6 linked regions of the Kluyveromyces lactis genome follow. The protein of the gene in region 1 purifies or fractionates together with the protein of each later gene. This does not show direct contact. Links are inferred from orthologs where the notes say so. Each region holds a gene or a part of one and is shown in the gene's direction. Other genes may lie near its edges.

Region 1 (3,757 bases):
TATTGTACAAAGATGATGAATCTCGTATCGATCTGATTGTTCATTCATTGAAAGATATGCCAACTCTTCTACCTGATGGATTCGAATTAGGCGGTATCACGAAACGTGTAGATCCTACAGATGCTCTAGTCATGCCAATTGGTTCTCCGTACAGTAGCTTGTCAGAGTTGCCTGACGGCTCGGTGGTCGGAACTTCATCAGTAAGAAGATCTGCTCAATTAAAGAGAAAATTTCCAAACCTGAAATTCGAAAGTATCAGAGGTAATATTCAAACCAGGCTGGCGAAATTAGATGATCCAGAGACTCCTTACAAATGTATCGTTTTGGCCAGTGCCGGCCTAATGAGAAGTGGACTTGATTCTAGAATTACCCAGCGTTTTAATGCTGACACAATGTGCTACGCAGTCGGTCAAGGTGCGCTTGGTATTGAAATCAGAAAAGATGACGAGAAGATGAAAAAAATTCTAAAAGAAATTTGTGATCCTTCGACGACTATCTGCTGTCTAGCCGAGCGTTCTTTACTCAGAACTCTAGAAGGTGGTTGCTCAGTTCCAATTGGTGTTGTATCCAACTACGACGAAAGTACAAAAGTGTTAACCTTAAAAGGTATTGTTATCAACGTCGAAGGTACTGAATGGGTAGAAATCGAACATAAGGTCACCATTTCTAACGAAAGGGAAGATAGTATAAATTGTGGTAAAGAACTTGCTGCTAAACTAACCCAAAATGGTGCCAAAGAGATCTTAGACTCTATCAATCTTGACAAAATCACTTAATGACGAACATTCCTTCTAAAACACGAGAGTGGAAGAAAATTGAATGGGCATGAACTCTCGGCATTCAATATAAACACCCTTTTCCCTTGCCTTATAATTCACTTATTAATGTCTTCTCTTGTTTCCGTTTACGCTTTTAATTTTATCCTGATGTATGAATTTGCATATTTACTTATTCAAATAATGTTTAATCATAGAAAAAACATGCACTTAATTAAGACCCTTTTTGCATAAAACAAACCTATATATATACTGCGATGAAGCAATGAATTGGAATGAGTTCCGAACAAAGATCTCTTTGCCATGTCAGTTGTAGGTCTGTTCAATTATTTCTTTGTTTATAGATGCAAAATAGAAAAATGACCATTATCAAGAACATGAAATATATACACGTAGTTTAACTCATGAGCCAACATAACAAAGTAGAGCACGCAGCTAAACGCACTGAAATCATCGTTGCTCTGCCAGTACTGTGAAAAAGGAAATGGAAGATGATCTTAATCTATTAGGTGATCAAAAGCTATCTGAATTCAGTCTCTTAATATGCAAATATCCAAAAAGTTTGCACCATTGGGAGAATCTTTTGAATCATTTATTGCTGAAGGCATCACCTATCTCAAAATCTATTAATAAAGACCTTCTTCAGCTAGTACGATCGACATATGAATCATTACTCTACCAGTTCCCCTTTTTGGAGAATTATCATGTCGAATACGGACTATTGGAGTATAAACTAGGGAATTTTGGTAAGTTTCACGCTATATTCGAGAATGCTCTTCAGTATTTCAACAATAGGTCATTGTTAATATGGGTAGAATACTTGAAGATCTGCAATAAAATTATGCCCAGTGATAAGCAACTTTTCCAAAAATATGCCTTTGCGGAATCCTACATTGGATTGCATTTCTTCGGTGCTGAATTTTGGCACATGTATCTTAACGAAATAAAACTGCGATGCAAGACACCGCAACATTACATTCGAACGTTAAGAAAAGTGATAGAAATACCGTTATATGAATATTCCAGTTTTTATGATTTGTGGCTACAAACCATTGAAGATGTTAAAGATCTTTCACAATTAAGGTTCTATGCGGAAGATAAAGAGCTATGGAAAAAGTTGAAGATAGACACACAATTGAATGGTCGCAGAGGCCCACATTTGCAAGTCGCCAAGAAAGCTTTGAAGAAAGTTTCTAAAGAGTTATTCCTTGTCGTACAGTATGAAGTTATGGAGATATATGAATTGTTTGAAAGTAAGATCACCAAAAGATACTACATGTCTGCGGAAGAACTTATTCCACACCAGGAAATCATCGTCTGGACGAAATATTTCGAATATATCAGGGAAAAGAAAATTTCAGACCTAATCAAGCTTCAGTTTCAGCGATCTGTGCTCCCTTTAGCTCATTATGACCATATATGGTTGCAGTACGCCAACTATTTAATTGATGATTTGAACGATTTCATTGGTGCCAAAAACGTGATGTTACAGGCTTTATCCTACGTTCACAAGCGTTCCAGGATTGTCACAATGTTATCCTCGGTTCTCATTAGATTAGGGCAGATTTCAGAACTCCATCAATTATATGATGATATTTCACTCGCATTCTCAAATGATCTAACTACTTCCGATGATTTCGAAATATTCATTGACTACATACAATTCAACTTGTTCTTGAGTTCTGCCAATTCAAAAAGTCGCTTCAGTGGTTTAACAAACAACATCGAATTCTCCGACAATTTACTGGATGTATTGATGAAAAAGGCAAGTAAAGAAGATGATCATAACAGACAATACATTTTATTGAACATGGTAAATGAAATGTACGAGCGTTTTCCGCGTGCTTTAGTTGAAACTAAAGTTTATCAACACATAATCAATAGCAAATGGAAATCGTTCCTGGAAAATCCAAAGTTCTGGTACCTTTATTGTTCTCTAGTATGGTACGATAATAATATCACCTATTTAAAGAGGCGGAAGCATATTATAAATGATATCATTCCATCTGCTGCAAAGTATGGTAAGGCTGTTTTGTCTGAAGTAGAATTGTTTATTTCAAACTACTTGCCAGATGATATGGAACTCTTTACTGAAGCCTACACAAATCAGGGACAGATGAAAGTTCCTATTTAATTAGTTTATGTCTACAAGTTCACTTATTCAATTCAAAATAGACGTTTATAGTAGTGATAATTCCATATAGGAATAAGAGTAAACAGCCAACTCTCTTGTCTAACTTCCAATTATTTAGGGGGACCACAAAAATAAATATGCCAAACGCTATGACTATGCCGATACAATTGAAGACTAGTCCACGATTAACATCGAAATCTATGTGCCTACTCCATATTGCTGTACCTTCAGGGTATTCCCTCTGAAGAAGGACGAGCATGCCATCTACACCAACACCAAATAGGAAATATAGTAGAGGGCTACCAAAACAGGAACCCAATGCAATCTCCAATACTCCAATTCTGGTGAATGTGACATTAGAGACCAAATCACCAATAGAATTTCCCCACGCAAAAACTGTCAAACCAAGTATAGCTTCTGAGAGATTGAACGTCTCCGCCCAATTCGTTAAAATGTCAAGCACCAACCCAACAACAAATGATATGGAAGAAATTGAAAGAACAAATCCAAATAAAGAGATATATTTTTCCTTGACCGTTAGTTTCCATTTGAAGAACATCAAAAGTAAAATACAGGATACAATTAAGCCAAGAGTAAATAACCAAATGTTAAATTCACGTTGTACCAACAGAAGAGTCAAGAACGGGGAGAATGCACACTGACAATAGTACGCAGCTTTGAAAAAGTTACTCCCTGACATTGACGAATAGTGAAGGGGTATTATAAGAGTCAGAAAGAAAACAATTGGTGTGGTGATGAGAATTATTGCTAGTTCGAAATTCGAAGTCGCAAAATTTGGATCAGTTAGATATCTGAACACCCTTAACTTGGACTCCCACTGATCCTC
Region 2 (3,239 bases), about 620 kb from region 1:
AGATCGGACAAGTATTTTGGCCAGTATGGAAAAATTAACAAGATCGTCATCAATAAGAAGACTGGACACGAGCACCATTCTGTTTCAAATTCATCGAGTCATATAAATTCAGGTTACGGTATTTACGTTACTTTTTCCAGAAAAGACGATGCAGCAAAATGTATTCAAGCCATAGATGGTATCTATATTGATGGACATCAAGTGAAAGCAGCATATGGTACAACAAAGTACTGCTCCTCGTATTTGAGGGGACAACCATGTCCAAATCCGAACTGTATGTTTTTACATGAACCAGGGGAAGAAGCGGATGCTTTCAACAATGCCAGGAAGGAACATGCCCATCACTCACATGCACCACCTACACTTGCTAAACCGTCTACAAGTGCAAGCTCTACGCCAAAGCTTGCTCATGCTTCATTGAGAACAGATGACTCTACTGTGCCAGCAGCTGCAACTTCAAGCTCGAAGCAAACCGCTCCTGTGCTAACACCAGCTCCAGTTCCATCTGGTTCAAACCCATGGGGTATATCTCAAGCACCCACACCAGTTTCTACTATTTTCAACAAGACTTCTACTTCTACCACTTTCCCTACGTTGTCAAGCTCCTTGGGGGAAACTCTGAACAGTCCAGGTCCAGGCACTCCTACGACCACTGGATCTGCCCCAACAGCAAACTCTTCTTCTAACGTAAGTTCGAAGAAGAAGGGCGAAAAGACATACGAGGATCCTTACGATCCAATGGCAACATGTGTTAAGTTCCTAGATCAAACTTTTAAGTTTTTATCAGATATTCCTGAAAGAAGCTACACATTCAACTCCAACTTATTGGATGACGAAACATATCAAAGTTACCCATCACTTTTTTCATTTGAGAAGATTGGATGTAGTGAGCAATCTGAAGGTGTCTTGGGTGCCAAACTATGTGATTTGCTTACTATAAAACCTGTGGACCACATGTCCTCTCTTCTGCCATTCATTCAAAACAAGGCTACACCTACCATGTTACCACCGGGAATTGCTGTCCAGCAACCACAATTAGTACAACAGCAGAAGCAGCAGCTACAGCAACAGCAATTACAGCAACAGCAACAACAGCTTTCACTGCAAATGCAACTACAAGCCCAACAAGGCATGGCGCAGCAAGGCATGGCGCAGCAAGTTATGAGCCAGCCACAAAGCAATTCTTCCGATCTACTAAATCAATTAATTCACGGTAAGAAACAGACTGCTGCCGTATAATCAGTACTCAGTATGATTCCAATAATATTTCTTTTACGAAGTTAGCATATAAATAAATATATATATTCATGTACATTCATTTATTTTTCAATATAAACCGTTCCAGGTTGTTAGATAAACAACTGTTTCAATTTCATTTTTCCAAATCAGACCTTGTAATCTACTGTCTTTCTGGGTTCTTCTTTCTGTCAAAGGCATTCACATTAAAATACATATTTTGACACACTCTTTTTAAGGTTTTTCCATCAATTATGTGAAAATTGTAACATTTAACATCTAAATAGTAAAGATGCGCCAAAAATATGGAATATAATTACATACACTTTACCTCAGCGCATACACCTTAACCTCGATACTGCGGTAAGCGCATCAATAAAGATAATATTGGCACATATCCATTCCAATTAATAGATGAAACCACAAACGAGGAAATACAACAGGCATAATGGCTTTCACACTTTGACCAAACTTCCGTCTTCAGTATCAAAGTTATTTACACAAGGTCCACCATTACCACCATCGAGAGTGAGAGTAAGGCGAAACCAGAACAAGAAATATGCACTCACTGGTGTATCAGCCGTGTTGCAACATGTTTCAGAGTATAAGAAGGCAACCCATCCCGTATCAGAGAACCAACACTTGAAAGTATATGATGAAGCCATGAACGAATCGCACAAAGAACAGGAGGAGTTGATGAAGAAAATACAAGAGTGGCACCCTGAATCAGATGCAAACATTTCTAGTGACCCCTACCGCACATTATTTGTCGGACGGTTACACTATGCCGTAGACGAAGTTGAACTACAGAAGAGTTTCGTCAAATACGGCGACATTGAATCGTGCAGAATAGTAAGAGACCAAGACGGTAAGAGCCGAGGATACGGTTTTGTGCAGTTTACCAGTTATGAAGACTCCAAACAGTGTTTCAGAGAGCTTGGTGTAAGGAAGGGAATAGAAATCATGGGCCGAACATCCATCGTTGATATAGAAAGAGGCAGAACGGTGAAATTCTTCAAACCTCGACGTCTAGGTGGAGGATTAGGAGGACGAGGTTACCAAAGGAAAGATCTCGTAAATAAATTAACTGGTGCTTCAACAAGACCGATGCATGAACATGCTAGAAGACCCATCAGAAGACACGATACCTTCGAAAGAAGAGGTCCTCCACAAGGGCATTCCCATTCTTATCAACCAACTAGTCCAATATCCTCACCTGCATCAAATTTCCAAAAAACTGCAAGTTCTAGCTACCGATCAAGGAGGGACAGATCTCGCAATGATACTTCCAATGGTTCTACAGACACATTGATGTATTGAGATGAGATAAAAAGACACATCAAATAGCACGTGATCAGAACTGCTGCAGTGATCTATATACATTTTCATATATATTCATATAAGTAGCCATACAGATGAGCCATGGCTAAATGTTATATGTACTTCCTACCATTTCTACCTCTGTTCTCATATCTACGCAGTTCTCCTACATTGTGCCCACTGGCCAAGCATAACTGAACCACTACCTCTGTATGCATGAGTAATTTCTTGATCGATGACTGATTCCAAAATAACGATGGAAAAAATTATTCCAGTCAAACAAAAAAAAAAAAAAAAATGGCAACTCAGCGAATCGCACATATAAAGAAAACCGTTTTCAGTTTCCCATTCGCTAAGTATTTCCATTAGGTATCTAAAGTATGAGTTAACTCGTAAAGTACTGAACAGCATTATTGTCTAATCGAAGTTAAGACCAGCTCTATCCATCTGCAGGACAAATTAAAGGGTTTGCAGGAAAGTGTTGATACCTGCCTTTTCAGTGATAGTGAGCCAAGCCAACTGTTTTATCTTCTTTAAAGGATTTTGATTAGATAAAGAAGAAGAAGAAGAAGAAGAAGAAGAAGAAGAAGAAGAAGAAGAAGAAAACATGTCTGTCCCATCTGCGAGATTGTTGATGTCAACGAAGGGTTTGAATCCATCTCGTTTGAGCAAAGTTGCTTCGA
Region 3 (3,347 bases), on another chromosome or scaffold:
AGTTCCCTAACTGCAAGAGAAGTAACATTAAAAATGGGTAAGGAAAAGTCTCACGTTAACGTTGTCGTTATTGGTCACGTCGATTCTGGTAAGTCTACCACTACCGGTCATTTGATCTACAAGTGTGGTGGTATTGACAAGAGAACCATTGAAAAGTTCGAAAAGGAAGCCGCTGAATTGGGTAAGGGTTCTTTCAAGTACGCTTGGGTTTTGGACAAGTTAAAGGCTGAAAGAGAAAGAGGTATCACCATCGATATCGCTTTGTGGAAGTTCGAAACTCCAAAGTACCAAGTTACCGTTATCGATGCTCCAGGTCACAGAGATTTCATCAAGAACATGATTACTGGTACTTCTCAAGCTGACTGTGCTATCTTGATTATTGCTGGTGGTGTCGGTGAATTCGAAGCCGGTATCTCCAAGGATGGTCAAACCAGAGAACACGCTTTGTTGGCTTTCACCTTGGGTGTTAGACAATTGATTGTTGCTGTTAACAAGATGGATTCCGTTAAGTGGGATGAATCTCGTTTCCAAGAAATTGTCAAGGAAACCTCTAACTTCATCAAGAAGGTCGGTTACAACCCAAAGACTGTTCCATTCGTCCCAATCTCTGGTTGGAACGGTGACAACATGATTGAAGCCACCACCAATGCTTCATGGTACAAGGGTTGGGAAAAGGAAACCAAGTCCGGTGTCGTCAAGGGTAAGACCTTGTTGGAAGCTATTGACGCTATCGAACCACCATCCAGACCAACTGACAAGCCATTGAGATTGCCATTGCAAGATGTCTACAAGATTGGTGGTATCGGAACTGTGCCAGTCGGTAGAGTCGAAACCGGTGTTATCAAGCCAGGTATGATTGTTACCTTCGCCCCAGCCGGTGTTACTACTGAAGTTAAGTCCGTCGAAATGCACCACGAACAATTGGAAGAAGGTCTACCAGGTGACAACGTCGGTTTCAACGTCAAGAACGTTTCCGTTAAGGAAATCAGAAGAGGTAACGTCTGTGGTGACTCCAAGAACGATCCACCAAAGGCTGCTGCTTCTTTCAACGCCACTGTTATCGTCTTGAACCATCCAGGTCAAATCTCTGCTGGTTACTCTCCAGTTTTGGATTGTCACACTGCTCACATTGCTTGTAAGTTCGACGAATTGTTGGAAAAGAACGACAGAAGATCCGGTAAGAAGTTGGAAGACTCTCCAAAGTTCTTGAAGTCCGGTGATGCTGCTTTGGTTAAGTTCGTTCCATCTAAGCCAATGTGTGTTGAAGCCTTCTCTGACTACCCACCTCTAGGTAGATTCGCTGTCAGAGACATGAGACAAACCGTCGCTGTCGGTGTTATCAAGTCCGTTGACAAGACTGACAAGGCCGGTAAGGTCACCAAGGCCGCTGTCAAGGCTGGTAAGAAATAAGTTTAACTTGATACTACTAGATTTTTTCTCTTCATTTATAAAATTTTTGGTTATAATTGAAGCTTTAGAAGTATGAAAAAATCCTTTTTTTTCATTCTTTGCAACCAAAATAAGAAGCTTCTTTTATTCATTGAAATGATGAATATAAACCTAACAAAAGAAAAAGACTCGAATATCAAACATTAAAAAAAAATAAAAGAGGTTATCTGTTTTCCCATTTAGTTGGAGTTTGCATTTTCTAATAGATAGAACTCTCAATTAATGTGGATTTAGTTTCTCTGTTCGTTTTTTTTTGTTTTGTTCTCACTGTATTTACATTTCTATTTAGTATTTAGTTATTCATATAATCTTAACTTAACGTAACAACAACTTTCATTGTCAACAAATTTACTAATACTAATACGTATGGACTATTTGTTAATAGGTTGTGATATCCTTCTCTATTAGGTTATTACACATGCCATACAAAGCTAGTATCTATCGGCAAGCAATGGTCAGTACCTTATATCTGTCGAATCTACCGTCGAGGCCCGACTCATTGTCCAAATTCAGAGCCTTACTACTATCAAGTGTTAATTCAGATCATCGTTCTATTTCAAATGATGTTAGTACAAGATTCGATCTGAACTCGAAGAAAGAAACTAGTGAGGCTGATGCGGTTACACCAGTACTCGATGAAAAGTATCAGATCATAGAGGTATCAAGGTATGGCTCAAGACCCTTGAGGAGGTCTTGTTTCGTCACTTTTAAGGACTCAGACAGTTGTAATACGTTCCTTATAGAATTTCAAGGCAAGCTCAAGATTAATGGGAGAAAGATAAATATAAAGCTGGCGAATACGGATTCTTTCGCAGCTTTGTACTACCAGGGACAACAGAAACAGCTACAGGATGAACTTCGGTTACGTACACGTAAAGCTGTGGATAATTCACAGCCCAAGACCAAGACAAAAAACGAAGTGTTGAAAAGAAGGTTAAGAAGAGCTAGAAGTAAGCTTAGAAAGAAGGATTTGGACGAAGAAACCATACAGAAGCTTCTTTCAAAGCCCAGAAAAACAAATCCTGAAGGTACCAACAAGACTGCTATGTCACAGCAGTCGGAGAAAGTTTCCTCCACTAAAAAAGTCTTTGACATTGTCGGAAATCCCCCTCACCATGTCCTATTGGTTCAAAATCTTCCAAAAGATGTTACTCAGCAAGAATTGGAAAAGTTATTTGTCTCAGATGGATTTAAAGAGGTTAGATTGGTCAGTGTCAGAAATCTTTGCTTTGTTGAATATGATTCTACAGCAAATGCCACTAAAGTTGTTGAAACCTTAGGTCATGATCATCCATTCAAGAATGTAACGATAAAGATTGGATACGCCAAGAAATGATTCTACATTTCAATGCGAATCAATAAATTCAAAGCGTTCACAGGTCGGAACTGGAACCAACAATCTACGCTTTAATAGTACATTTATCAGCAACAGATAAACAGAATAAATAGAATAGATTGAATATAAATTATTTACAGTCAGTGTATGGAGGCCTGTACAGTACAGATACACTAGAAACGAAAAAGACAGAAATGATATATACATATATGCATACGAAGCTCTAAAACCCTGAAACCGAAATTACTTACCAAATACGACAGTTCTCATAGCTGTAAAGAAAGTTTCCTTACCCTTACCTTCGATTTCGTCATGCAATCTTTTGTAATAAATTGGGTTACCTGCTGGCTTGTATAATTTGTCCCCTACAGCATAATAATTCTTATATTTATCGCTCATTATAGCATTCAACGATCTTATCTGTTCTTGGATTTGAGTATCGTTGAAATGTTCTTCTGGTAAAGCCTCTTGAACTTTCTTTAATAGATCTTTCTTCAAACCTAATGGGCCAGAAGTTCTGTTGATAATATCCTTAATCTCTGCAAGAGAAGGCTTACTTTGC
Region 4 (4,522 bases), on another chromosome or scaffold:
ATGTTCTGGTGAAAAAGGCTTGAAGAAATCAGGCAGCAGTTTCCAGAAAGCGAAGAACTTTTTGATGAAGATCAAAAGGACGAAGAGTGGCGATCAAAGACCGCTCACTACTGTACCTTCGTCCGCTAGAAGCAGCAGGAGTTCGATGGCAGTAGATGAAGGATCCGAAATCCAGTTAAATGATACTTTCAGGGCGAAATCGGGTGCATCCAGCGATAAACGTAGAATATCATATCATTCTCTTTTTTCCGCGTCATCTGCTGGTAATCACCACGACCAATATAGTAATAAGGAAAAGACATTTGACAGATCAACTTTGCAAATTCGTAAGTCGATGATTATTGGTGAAAGCACAGAGATACAGGAAGTGCCTTGTCTTGAGAAAGAATATGTAAAACAGAAGGCTGAACCTATTTCCGCGTTGCCATATAAGCCATCTTTTGCTTCTGAAAAGGATCCCAAACAACCCCTGTTGATCACTGAAGAGTATTTGAATATTTTGAAACAAAATATGATGTTGATGCAAGAGCTACAATTGGTTTCCACGGAATTAGCCGAGTCTATCGCAAGGGAAGGTAGATTAGAAAGTGAATTAGAATCAAAGAATCCGAAGGAACCAGAGTCACCTCAGGCTCTTTCTCTACTGGATTTCGAAACGGAATTAAGGAAAAAATCGTCAAAGATTGTTGAGTTGATTCAAAATTTGAACGAAGAAAGGCTCAAACGTTTCATTGCAGAAGAACAGAATTTATTATACCAACATGGTATAAAGCCATCTCCTAACGAACTCGCCCTTCAAATAAATGAGCTGAAGACGCAACTGCAGTCCAAAGATCTACTGATAGAACAGTTGCAGAAGCAAGTACATGATTCTTGAAGCAAAATGAAAAGAATCCATGTATGGTTCGTTCCGATTTTGAAGGTCTCGTTATTTCTGCGATTTCTTTTCCAGTCAAGCATATACCTATATAATTTGGGAAATATACATATATATGTTAAAAAACGTTGAAAACACATTGTTATCTAATTATGGTAATCTACAGGCTGTGAAACCCTGACATTCGTAAGCTTTAACAATTTCAACTATGTACCTGTTGGCCTAAGTATCGAATGGCATTGATTGTCTGGTCGTCTCCATAACAAGAATTCAAAATGAAAATTGAAAAAAAATTAAAATATATGAAAACACGAATTCATAACGTTACAATCAAGATTTTGCCAACTGATATCAGTATTATATCCAACAATACGCCATCAAGTACCCGAGAGATGTCAAAAAGAGGTTTTGGTATGTTTAATTTATGTCACCATTCAAGACGTTAGAGTTTTGCATTGTTTTTTGAAGGTTCTATCCATCTCTGACGTATTGTTATATCAGATTTAAGTTTTCCCTTAGTACAACTGACAGCGACGTCAGCAAAGAGAGACAGATGACAGACGGTTCCAAGATTGCCACAAAACACACATCTAGACTAGAGAGACATCCCATCGACAATCGGTATAAATACTTCAAGTTTTCGGTATGATTTACTCTGAATAATATCGAAGAAGTTTCGTTAAAAGTAGTCGGTTGGTTGACACTTTGGTTTAGAACTCAGAGAGAAAGCAATAGTATCAGATATATATCTGAGACTTACATTAACGTTTTCCAAGGAAAAGCATATAATTACTAACAACTGTTTCTGAAACACAATGATTCTTGTAGATTATGAAGAAGAGAGTGGTTATCGTGAAGCGAGGCCACATTTTGCCAAAAGGCAAAGGCTGCCACCCGTTGTCATGCTTTGTAAGGACATGATGCCTGATATCAGGACCATGGGTGAATCGGCCAAGGCTTTTCCAGAAGATATCAAGTTCCTAAGTGAGGCCATTGTTCATGAATTCGGTAATGACGAGTATTTCAACAACGCACTTTTGAAAACTTTCAGAGCAGTTATCTTGGAACAACCTCATAAGCAACCAGGTATTGCTCTTTTAACCATGGTGCTAAATTCAGCTAAACCAGAAATTGGTAAAAGTATTTTGAATTATTTCTTTGACCAAATTCAAGAGTTACTTAATTCAAGTCATGACCCCGACTACCAAACCAAATCTCATGATATTGGACCATGGGATAAAATTAAGTTAGTACTCAGATTTATCTCCATTCTATCGCCAATGGTGGTACCAGATGATTTGCTTGACTTGTACAAGAAATTATTGCAGTTTACCGTCGATTTAAACAATTCCACGGAGAAAAGATCCCCACTTTCTGAAGCCATCTATACCAACACCTTGTTGAACGTTCCATATTTGTTCTACTTCAACTCGGATAATCGTGAATCGTTAAAAACTTTAGTTGAGGAGTTACTCACTTTTGTCGAAAACGAATATAACATTAAAGATACTGATATTCAATTGCTCAAAGCATACAATAAGAACCCACCATATGAACCAGTTCATTGGGTTACTGCTGTCTTGCCAAATGTCAAGAACGCATTGGCAAACGATATGCAACAACTAGGCGAGCTTTTCCTGAATTATGACACCTTATTGACCCAACAAATAGCAATTCATTCTTTTAATGAGCCGTTGAATCTACCAACTTTAGAACAAATTATTCCATTTTCAGGTTTAGACAAAGGCTTCGGTTCAGTCGATAGTCTATGGAAAACTCCAAGATATTCATTCGAGGTTTACTTACCGAACAGTGTGGGTCCATTTTCTACCGTGATACCAACTACCACCTTCACAGGTATGTTATTTCAAGATATTCTTCTTGATATAATCGAAAGTATGGAGTTCAATAGACTTGAAGTTGCGAGACAATTAGTAACGATTGATCTTTTCTTCACTGCGGGTATTTTCACTGAACCGGGCCTTCCTGTCGCCCAACTCTTGGAACAATTTGAAGAAAACCCAGCAAGAAGTACTTTCAAAATCGAAGATTTAGCCGTTGGTGCCATCTTAGAATTAACTTTTAAATTACCTACTGTTTCTCAATCTTTTGCCTATTTCTATTCTCTTTTGGTAGAAATTTGCAAGAACTCGCCAAAAGCTATTGCTCCTGTTTTCGGTAGAGCTTTCAGATATTTCTATAACAATTTGGATAAACTAGACTTCGAGTTAAAAGCTAGGTTCCTAGATTGGTTCTCAATTCAAATGAGTAACTTCAATTTCTCATGGAAATGGAATGAGTGGGAAGTTGATTCCATTCAGTGGAATAGAACTATTTACAATCCAAGAATGATATTCATTAAGAATTTGATCAGAAAGGAATTAAGATTAACGTCCAATTCTGCTGATGTTGAAGAAAGTGTTACTGATGAATTCCAAAAATTCATGGATCCATCTTTCATCAAGAGAGAAGATCTTGTTAACTATTACTCCTCTCTTTTCAAAGATTTCCAATTGGATGAAGGCGATCTTCGTAACAATGAGCTATATTTCAGATCTCCATCTTTCCCATTCCATGAAAACGTAACTCAACTTTTGGATTTCTTCCACAAGCAACCTGACACCAGATCTGTTGCAGAGTTGGAGGGTATTCTCAAGGACATTGCTGTAAACCATGGGTCAATTATTGAAGATTTCAATAGATTTACTGTGACTCTTCTGATTCAAACCATTGTTTTCTGTGGTAGTAGATCTCTCTCCCATGCAAACAAATATATTGATGATTCGAGAGAAGAGTTGAAAGCAATTATGGCACAGGTAGAGGTGTCGCCGCAAATTAAAGATCAATGGATTTGTGAGGCGGTTGTCAGATACTGGAATAGTAACTCTCAAACTGGTTACTTGATTTTGGACTCTTTGAGATATAATGGTCTAATTTCAAATGAATCAGTTTTAAACTTTTCTTTGACCGAACAGTGTGGAGTAAACATGAGTCTCGTCGACTCTACTTCTATTGAGTCTATTTTCAGAATTTTGAATGAGCTGGCTATGGCTGCTGACAAAGATGTTGGTTCTTTTGAGTATGTCTTCAACAGGTTGGTGGGTGCTGCTAACGAGGTATTGTCGCAATTGAACACTATTGATCCAATTGTTGTTCCAGATCTTGATCAAGACATTCAGGCAACAGACGAAGAGTTACCATCATTAGACCTTGCGTGGAAATACGAAGCAATTATGGGTTTCTTAAAGAGTGTGCTCAGAAAATACTCGGATGAGTTTAGCGTTCTGACGGAAAAGTTCATCAATGATGTATTACAAGGCGTGCCACATGAACCCACCAAGCAACAATTGAACAGATGGATTTCGGAAGTTTCAGAATTATGAGCGTGAACCAGAACTACTTGCCAGCTTATATCCAGGTATATTGATTTCGAATTGACATCAAAGTTCTCGATACGATGGGTTGTTTGCTAATGATACCCTCCTAGTCATGTTCTCTTTTTTGATGCCTTTCTGCATCGTTGTGTATTATATAAGATAAGAGTCGTTGTTGTTTATAATTATTAAGTCCAAAAGCTTTAATTAATAAGTTACAGAAACTGTCCGGTATTTTAATCATCTATGTATGACGGTATTGTAAGTGTCT
Region 5 (3,998 bases), about 280 kb from region 1:
GAATGTCGGTTCAGTATTTACTGCCAAATTCTGTCATCAGATATATTCAAGAGCATGGCTTGTACGTAAACCAAACTGAACCAGTGAAACAAGTTATCGGTAACAAGGATTGAGTGTGACACTAATTGTTCTAATCACATATTCTCCTTCTCCTTTCTAGACTCCTCCCTGGTCAGACTCACGTGATGTCTTTAACTCGAAGATAATATACACACAAATTGTAACAGTTTTTAGTTAGTTGAAATCCTTTTTATAATAGAAGTTCTTAATCAACAATAGTATTTGTCGTCTAGCGAAAGTTGCGCATGCTGTTATCCTTTGATCTAGCTCCGTAACGATGACTGCTGCAGACAGATGGAAGGATTATGCCTGTGTAACATCCCTTTTCGTGGCTGTTGCATCGTTATACTATGCATATAAGGTTAAGACAACTACATTAACTGCTCTATCACCACCAAAGGATGGAGTGGAAGACTTGATAGGAAATACACCAATGGTAAGAATTAAATCTCTTTCCGATTATACTGGTTTGAACGTTTTTGCCAAAATGGAGTTAAATAATCCAGGTGGTAGCGCAAAGGACAGAGTTGCCTTGAATATTATCAAAACCATCTCATCGCAGGAAGGTATTAAGGGTTCAAGTGATAAGAAAAATAGAATCTTTGAAGGAACAAGCGGATCTACAGGTATATCCCTTGCAATATGTTGTAACGCGTTGGGTTACTCATGCCATATCTCGCTACCGGACGATACAAGCCAAGAGAAACTTTCTCTTTTAACTGCACTTGGTGCAATAGTGAACAAGGTAAAACCTGCTAGTATAGTGGATCCGAACCAATACGTAAATGCAGCTAAGTCGTGTTCAGAAGAGTACACTGAGGGTGTTGGTGTATTTGCAGATCAATTCGAGAACGAGGCCAATTGGAAATGCCATTACGAAACGACAGGACCTGAAATTTATCTACAATTAAATGGGGAAGTGGATGCATTCATCACGGGATGCGGTACTGGTGGTACCATGGCCGGTGTTTCTCGTTATCTAAAGGAGAAAAGAGGTGACAAAGTACATATTGTGTTGGCTGATCCGCAAGGCTCGGGTTTCTACAATAGAATCAAATACGGTGTCATGTACGATAACGTAGAGAAAGAAGGAACAAGAAGAAGACATCAAGTGGACACATTAGTGGAAGGAATTGGTCTTAACAGAATTACAAACAACTTTCTGAAAGCGGAAAATTATATAGATGATTCCATCAGAATTACAGACGAGGAAGCTATTAAGATGGCCAAATTCTTATGTGTAAATGACGGATTATTCGTTGGTGCCAGTACTGCAATCAATGCAGTCGCAGTGCTGAAATATGCGGAAAACTTACCGAAGGGTTCAAATGTTTGCATCATTGCATGTGACAGTGGCTCTAGACATTTAAGCAAGTTCTGGAAAGAGGCCCTGCAGGTGAGTAACGATCTTTCAATTTCAGATATCATATAAATAACGTACAGTGTGTTTAACTTTGGTCTTTTGTAAATATCAATTAATTGGAAAAATCTTGAAATATATATATCGAGAGAGTAGACGTAAAGTTTCAGCGATGAGTTAGCAAATAAACGCTGATACTACTAGGCCGAACGTGTTTAACTCACTAATGGATACTGTATTGTTTGTGTCGCCCACATTATACTGCTGTGGAGACACGAAGAACTGGCAATCACAGGTGCCGAAGCCAGGATATGTGCCGATTTTGAAGAGTGATATCCCCAAATTTGAACAGTCGTTGAAACAAGCCAACAGCCATAGAGACCATGATAAAGGGAATTCAGTAGCCTCGAAGACTAATGAAACGGACAATTCTGATGAATTCAAGACTTCAACTTCACGCTATGTTGATTTGAAGTCCTTTTTACCAATTTCGTTAGAACAACAGTTGCATACCGTTTGTTTAGCACATTTTCCACTGGGACTTGGATCCAAGGGTATTGATAAAGTTATGGACAGACTAGACAATCTAATACGGAAAAAGCTGCAAGTTGAAGATAATGAGACCAAATTTATCAAACAATGGAGTTACGTCGATTGTGTGAATACGTTGACGGTATATATAAGTTTCCAGGAAAGTATAGTGGAAGAATATGGGAAAGCGATACAGTTACTTGAGAAATTGTTTGACAACGGGTCAGATGGGATCGGACTTCACATGGATGAAAACACTAGACGGTTCGTTTGCGATCTGACGGAAGGTTCTCCTGCTAAGGAACTCGATGAAACTGCAAAAGATGAGTTCTCCGCATTAATTACAATGTTGAGATCTGAACCAGGCTCTATATCTCAGGAGAAAGGGTTGGCTGGAAATAGTGCCGTTGAGTATAACGTGGATATAAGTACGTTGAGTGACCTTCCGAGTTCCTCATTAGACCAATTGTGTAAGGATATTGTTGAGTTTAGAACTCGTGTCATTACGTTAGAGAAAGAGAAACGGAATAAAGAGCTAGCGGAGGAAGAAAAACGGAGGAAACAAAACTTGAAGCATATATTTGACCGTATCAAGGTTACTAATGGAGGCTCGGAAAAAGGTTCAGCCCCTGAAGCTGAAAGTGACTCTGAAGATTCAGACGACGAGGTTGAGGGTTACGATGATGAAGATGCGGACGATTACGAAGCGGAAAAAAAAAGAGTTCAAGCGGAAAGAGATGCGCAAGAAGCCCAGTATGAATCCATGGTTCATAGTTTCCAAGATTCGTTACTGGTCCAATACTCATCGCTACGACAAGAATACCAAAGGTTACAAAACTACGAAACGCATTTACAAAAGAACAAAGGTCCTATGTTAAAAGAGTTATTACATCTTGCCATGGATCCTTACCACGACCATCACAGGCCATACAAGGAATCTGAATCCAAGGCAGATGAAGAGGACCGTAAACGGGAATCTGAAGAAGTACCAAAGAAAAAAGCAACAGAAACAGAGCCAGAGACAGAACTAGAGCTAGAGCTAGAGCCAGAGACAGAGACAGAGACAAAATTGGTATCGGACGCAGATGCGACAACGGCTGCACCAAAGATTAAATTAGCACTAAAGAAATCCATTGGAAAGACAAAGAATGAGATAGAAGAGGAAGAGACTCCTGAAACCGATGCGTTCCAACAGAAGTTGAATCTACTAAGGGAAAGCGGCGTAGTGGAAGAACTCGTCAAAGAATACTTGGGAGTTTACGAGCCCGACTTAGTCTCATATATCTTTGAAAACATCGAAGAACATCAATCGAAACAGGCACTCGAGACTGAGCTTACAGAGACGTTCGACGAAGATAGCCCTGTCCTAGTGAGCCGTATATGGGAAGCGATGGAACAGTAGTGGAATATACCATACATGTGAATATACATATATATGTATATGTAGGTATGTGTGTCACATGTCTAATAATGAGATTCTATTACCCGGTTACGTCTCACGTGACTGTCACGAAATTTTTTCGCCCGATTCGAGTGTTCCAGCCAGATCGGGCGGTAACATGAGGTTACTAGAGGTCCGGGTAATCGTGTTTCATATTGATTCGCGTTTTGTATATCGTATATAGCGATACATTCTCAACTTCACCAATTTTTTACCAGATCCAGAACGGTTACAGGAAGAATTGGCAGGATGAGATAAACAAAGGAACAAACATAGAGATTCTATTACTTGTAACTTATGTACACACCTGATAATGGTGGAATTTAGTTTCTGTTTTCGTTCGGGTTGCTTTAGGCAAAAGATAATAAGTTTTTAGATTCGAGATTTATCGTCAGGGTCAAACTTTTCAACAAAGAACGTTACCAGTGGTAATATTTTGGTGTATACATCTTTCTTTTCTTTGTGTTCCTCCATTCATTCATTTATTGATTCATCTCAAATTACTTATAAGTTTTTTATACATTTGATAAGAAGGATCTATTAGAGGTTTTTAATAAAGAAAGATTATCAGAACTGACCTACTGATCCAAATTACCTTCCAATCCT
Region 6 (4,241 bases), on another chromosome or scaffold:
TGTTAACAGCAGCAGCAGCAGCGGCCTGTTTTGCCGTACCCCGTTGTTGACGAGCTTCCCTATACGAATCCAACGGAGCGTCGAACGCATAATGCTTCTTATGCAGCTGTGGTGTTAATAAAGTGTCATCATGTTCGATATCATACTCTGAGGGTGATAAACGTAATGTTGGATCAAATGCTGAAAAGTTATTGTTGTTATTAGTAGCGAACTGGAAGTTATCGTCAATTCCTTCAAAATCATTACCGAAATTATCGTCATCGTCGTCTCCATTATTAGCCATTTCTGTAGCCTCAACAGCAATGTCTTGGACAACGTTACCGTCATCAGTTCTTTCACCAAACCTTGGTCCAAGATCCCTGTAACTCCTTCTAACTCTGGGCACATATGGATAGGGTTCATCATCTTCATCTTCATCGTCATCTTCGTCATCTTCGTCCTCAAGTAACACATCTTGACGGTTGAACCTCATTAACGATGGCATAGATGACTTATAACTGAGAGTTCGACCAGAACTGGGTCTAAGGTTCATATAAGACCTGCTGTTCGGTACTCGACGCGATTGCTGTGAATTCAAGCTTGTAATATTACCTTTACTACGGGTTGCCAAATCGACCATCGATCTACGCTGTCGTACCGAATCCTTCAACGATGGCCGCACTAGTCCCGCATGGTTTATATATTGATCCACATTTCTAGTACCACTACCACCACCGGTCTTAGAATTTCTCAGGTTCAATGATAGCTTCTTCTCCAGTTGTTCTTGCAAATCAGCTAGCTCGTCCTGATCCGAACTTTCCCTAAATCGTCTATCCACAGCAAGAGGTAGGTCTGTACCATTTTGGTACTCTTCAAAATCACTGTTATAGTTCATATCATCATCAAGATCGCTCGCCAGTTCCGTGTGTGATGAATACCTCTTATCCTTAGAGAATGTGGTATTTTCCGTAGTTGTGGATGTAGCTGAATTAGGTGCCAATCTCGGTACCTCTATATCATCTTTATAAGTAAATGTGCTTTCAACATCTTCAAATGATGTTTCTCCGACATCATCCAGTACAACTGGACGTATAGACATCGATAATCGAAGATTGTCCCTGGTCTTTTCCCTTGTTTATTCCTTTGTTTACATCTCGAACATACCTTTAATGCTTCCGTCATTGATGTATCTATTAACCTTAAACAAAATAATCATATTCGTGAGACGTGATACTATATTAATTGCTGTTTAAACCGCTGTTGAGACGCCAATTCTGCATTTCGAGCACTCCTATAAAACACTGAGATTCCCAGAATTCGACTAAGTTAATAATTACCTTTTAAACACTCATTTAGGCGCGTTTATCTCTGTTTGTTTTTCTTTCATGCTTCCAAAATGATTCAAAATTGCAAAGAACCGTATTATTGTAATTCTTTAAGATAAATCTCTGTTAAAGATGCATGATGCCACCAAACAGAACAAGAGCCTTTAGCTGCTATCCGTGAGCCGTTTTGAGTGTGAAGTCGGCAGCAGGGGTTTGCATATCAAATTTAAGAAGGAAACTAGGGATTTTATGAAATGTTTGAAGGATTAGACCAAACTTTTCTGAAGAATAACGATGAATGGGTGCAGAGTTATAATTCTGTTGACTGGAACGATATAACTACTATCGACAAACTGGTGGTTGGTACAGAAGCATTGGTACAGAAATACAATAATCCCAATGAACATGTGAAGAGCAATATATATAAAGTTTTTGATGAGTTATTGGGAAGGTATCCGTTATTTTTTGGTTACTGGAAACGATACGTTGCGGTGAAATATCAGCTAGATGGATTAGAAGGGTCTATTTCTACTTTAAAGGCATCTTTACATTCGTTCCCTACGTCGATAGATCTTTGGATTGATATGTTGAACGTTTATCTAACACATAATCAGAATGATAGTGAACTGATACGAAACCAGTTCAGGAAATGCGAATCCCTCGTGGGATCTCATTTCCTCTCGCACGATATTTGGGATAAGCACATTGCATATGAAACAAGACTACAGAACTGGGAAAACGTATTTGAGGTGTACAAACAAGTCATGCAGCAACCTTTGCATCAATATGCAAGATACTACACCAGCTTTAAGGAATTCTTGGAATATCACCCAGAGTTTGCTAATAGGGAATCAAGCATCCATTTGGATACCACATTTATTTCTAACCAGGAGAAGGTGAACAAAATATGGACATATGAATCACAAATAAAACAGCCATTTTTCAATATCCCTGAGCTTCCCGAGAATGAGATTCAGAATTGGGATGCTTATCTATCTTTCTTAATCAACAACACTGAGTTCAGTACAGAATTAATAAAATCGACGTTTGAGAGATGTTTGATTCCATGTTTAAGATACGAATATTTCTGGGGAGCCTATATTGACTGGACTGAAAGGACTTTTGGTCCCGAATGTACGTTCCCCTTGTTTGAAAGAGCACTCCGGGCTCTTCCTGCTGATAATAAATCTTTCAAGCAAAAATACATCAAATATTTGGAAAGTAATATGGATCCATATAATAAATTATCTTCCAAACACTATATGGACGCTCTATACACGTTCCAGCTTAAATGGCCACATGATCCAAGTTCAACTATTAAATATTTAAGGTTTCACAAGAGAAGATATTTTGCAGCATCTTTGAATGATGAAGACAAAAAGATCTTGGAACAACAGAGTAAATATGCTACATTTTTGGATAAAACTATCAAGGCGTACCTATCAGGGAATGCAGATACGGAAAATCACGACATTTCCCAGCAGTTGCTTGCCATGCTAAATGACACTACTCTTCCGATACTGGTAGTTGAACTAATAAAAGTGCATTGGCTGGTATTGAAGAACGTCATTCAATGCAGGAAACACTTTACATACTTCGCCAAATTGGATCCGATCAAGACTTCAGTCTTATTTTGGTTGACTTACTACAAGTTTGAAAAGACTCAAAAAAATATCGCCAGATTAACAAAGTTTGTCGATCAATTAGGCACTGAGATCGTATTACCAACAAAAGTTATCAATGATATCGTACGAGATTTCCAAGGGTTTTATCTAATCAATGCAGATTATTCCGAGTACGAAACCAATTTATCGCAATCCCGTTTTGGGTTTGACCCAATAGTTCACAATAGGTTCAAAATCAACAACCCAACATGGAGGCCGAACGCCAAGCTAACCAAGGACTGGTATAAATCAGAAAAGTATAGATCGAACGGTCATCCTGGATTGTTCATTGATAAGCCTCAAATTAAAAATACTATAATAGAGACGCTTGCATCGAAGCAGCTCAATCCAGCACCTTTGCCTACTTTTAGAAATTTAGAAAAGATCCATCAGAAACCTAAATTTGATGATTACATGTCTATAGATTATTTAAAGTAGTAGCTGAAAGGGCATTCTCACACTCAAGCATTTTCATGATCCTAGAATTTTTTTAATCATTTATATACTGTCACTTTGCCTTCCGATAATGCTTACACCATTCCGAGGAGAGCATTTGCCTGTGACTTGATTATCACCATAAACTTCAATAATAGTGAGCTTTTCATTGTCCTTGGATATCTTTTCCACAATTTCATTATCCACACAGTGGACAAACCCTATATTTAGCTGCTTGAGGTTAGGACATGCCATGAAGGTGAAAGTTTTGGATGTTAGGGATTTCAGACCATTTAGATTCAACTCTTCTAAGGTGGAAGAGGAGTTAAGTAATAATTCAACTACGGCTGCATCCTCCAAAGCAAAACATCTTTTCAAGCTACATCTTTTCAACAAAGGGAACTGCAACGAAGAGAATAATAGAACTATGCCGTCGGTGGTTATCTGATCCAATTCTTCTAATTCCAAGTCTGTAAGGATTGATTGCCCTGAGTTAGACAAAAATGGTAAAAATCCATTAATTATACAGCTATCAGTCAAGCCAGTGCATCTATTGAGCGACAACTTCCTAAGGTTCTGGCCTATGGATCCTAACAAACTTATAATAACCTCGTCATTAATATCTGTTTCTCTAGATGGCTCTTCCAAGATCAAAGTGTGGAAATTAGGAGAGTTAAGATATTGCGGTAATAGGGCGTAATTTGTCACAGTATCTAGAGTTGCTAGACCTAGAGATTCCAAGGACGATCCACAATTTCGAAGCATAGCTGACAATGCATTATCATTGAATCTATGGGTATTGGAAACATGAAAAGCAGTAAGTCTACCCTTTAGCAAT

The links.
Region 2: the proteins of PRP42 (region 1) and SNP1 purify together in Saccharomyces cerevisiae (affinity purification with mass spectrometry; 4 studies listed by BioGRID). This does not show direct contact. The link is inferred for Kluyveromyces lactis from reciprocal best matches to the Saccharomyces cerevisiae genes PRP42 and SNP1.
Region 3: the proteins of PRP42 (region 1) and MUD1 purify together in Saccharomyces cerevisiae (affinity purification with mass spectrometry; 6 studies listed by BioGRID, with this or other methods). This does not show direct contact. The link is inferred for Kluyveromyces lactis from reciprocal best matches to the Saccharomyces cerevisiae genes PRP42 and MUD1.
Region 4: the proteins of PRP42 (region 1) and STO1 purify together in Saccharomyces cerevisiae (affinity purification with mass spectrometry; 4 studies listed by BioGRID). This does not show direct contact. The link is inferred for Kluyveromyces lactis from reciprocal best matches to the Saccharomyces cerevisiae genes PRP42 and STO1.
Region 5: the proteins of PRP42 (region 1) and SNU71 purify together in Saccharomyces cerevisiae (affinity purification with mass spectrometry; 6 studies listed by BioGRID). This does not show direct contact. The link is inferred for Kluyveromyces lactis from reciprocal best matches to the Saccharomyces cerevisiae genes PRP42 and SNU71.
Region 6: the proteins of PRP42 (region 1) and PRP39 purify together in Saccharomyces cerevisiae (affinity purification with mass spectrometry, with the first as the bait; 3 studies listed by BioGRID). This does not show direct contact. The link is inferred for Kluyveromyces lactis from reciprocal best matches to the Saccharomyces cerevisiae genes PRP42 and PRP39.

What each region holds. Positions count from the first base shown.
Region 1 is NC_006039.1:1,319,434-1,323,190, forward strand, and holds PRP42 (mRNA splicing protein PRP42), read left to right. Parts: upstream 1-1,260; coding exon 1,261-2,910; downstream 2,911-3,757. Other genes in the region: HEM3 (hydroxymethylbilane synthase), read left to right, coding at 1-776; YCX1 (Ycx1p), read right to left, coding at 2,930-3,757. UniProt on the Saccharomyces cerevisiae protein: Essential component of the U1 snRNP particle, which recognizes and binds the 5'-splice site of pre-mRNA. Together with other non-snRNP factors, U1 snRNP forms the spliceosomal commitment complex, that targets pre-mRNA to the splicing pathway.
Region 2 is NC_006039.1:703,516-706,754, reverse strand, and holds SNP1 (U1 snRNP complex subunit SNP1), read left to right. Parts: upstream 1-1,650; coding exon 1,651-2,556; downstream 2,557-3,239. Other genes in the region: CCR4-NOT core ubiquitin-protein ligase subunit MOT2, read left to right, coding at 1-1,239; ARG56 (bifunctional acetylglutamate kinase/N-acetyl-gamma-glutamyl-phosphate reductase), read left to right, coding at 3,164-3,239. UniProt on the Saccharomyces cerevisiae protein: Involved in nuclear mRNA splicing.
Region 3 is NC_006038.1:785,560-788,906, reverse strand, and holds MUD1 (Mud1p), read left to right. Parts: upstream 1-1,867; coding exon 1,868-2,785; downstream 2,786-3,347. Other genes in the region: TEF2 (translation elongation factor EF-1 alpha), read left to right, coding at 34-1,410; CBP6 (Cbp6p), read right to left, coding at 3,029-3,347. UniProt on the Saccharomyces cerevisiae protein: Involved in nuclear mRNA splicing. The principal role of the U1A is to help fold or maintain U1 RNA in an active configuration. It is the first snRNP to interact with pre-mRNA.
Region 4 is NC_006042.1:1,606,194-1,610,715, reverse strand, and holds STO1 (Sto1p), read left to right. Parts: upstream 1-1,692; coding exon 1,693-4,260; downstream 4,261-4,522. Other genes in the region: KLLA0_F17545g (uncharacterized protein), read left to right, coding at 1-877; DLT1 (Dlt1p), read right to left, coding at 4,492-4,522. UniProt on the Saccharomyces cerevisiae protein: Component of the CBC complex, which binds co-transcriptionally to the 5'-cap of pre-mRNAs and is involved in maturation, export and degradation of nuclear mRNAs.
Region 5 is NC_006039.1:1,599,323-1,603,320, reverse strand, and holds SNU71 (Snu71p), read left to right. Parts: upstream 1-1,646; coding exon 1,647-3,353; downstream 3,354-3,998. Other genes in the region: nicotinamide-nucleotide adenylyltransferase NMA2, read left to right, coding at 1-113; MCY1 (putative cysteine synthase), read left to right, coding at 338-1,492. UniProt on the Saccharomyces cerevisiae protein: Component of the U1 snRNP particle, which recognizes and binds the 5'-splice site of pre-mRNA. Together with other non-snRNP factors, U1 snRNP forms the spliceosomal commitment complex, that targets pre-mRNA to the splicing pathway.
Region 6 is NC_006037.1:712,184-716,424, reverse strand, and holds PRP39 (Prp39p), read left to right. Parts: upstream 1-1,558; coding exon 1,559-3,406; downstream 3,407-4,241. Other genes in the region: BFA1 (Bfa1p), read right to left, coding at 1-1,078; UV-damaged DNA-binding protein RAD7, read right to left, coding at 3,467-4,241. UniProt on the Saccharomyces cerevisiae protein: Function prior to stable branch point recognition by the U1 snRNP particle to facilitate or stabilize the U1 snRNP/5'-splice site interaction. Has a direct role in the assembly or function of a catalytically active spliceosome.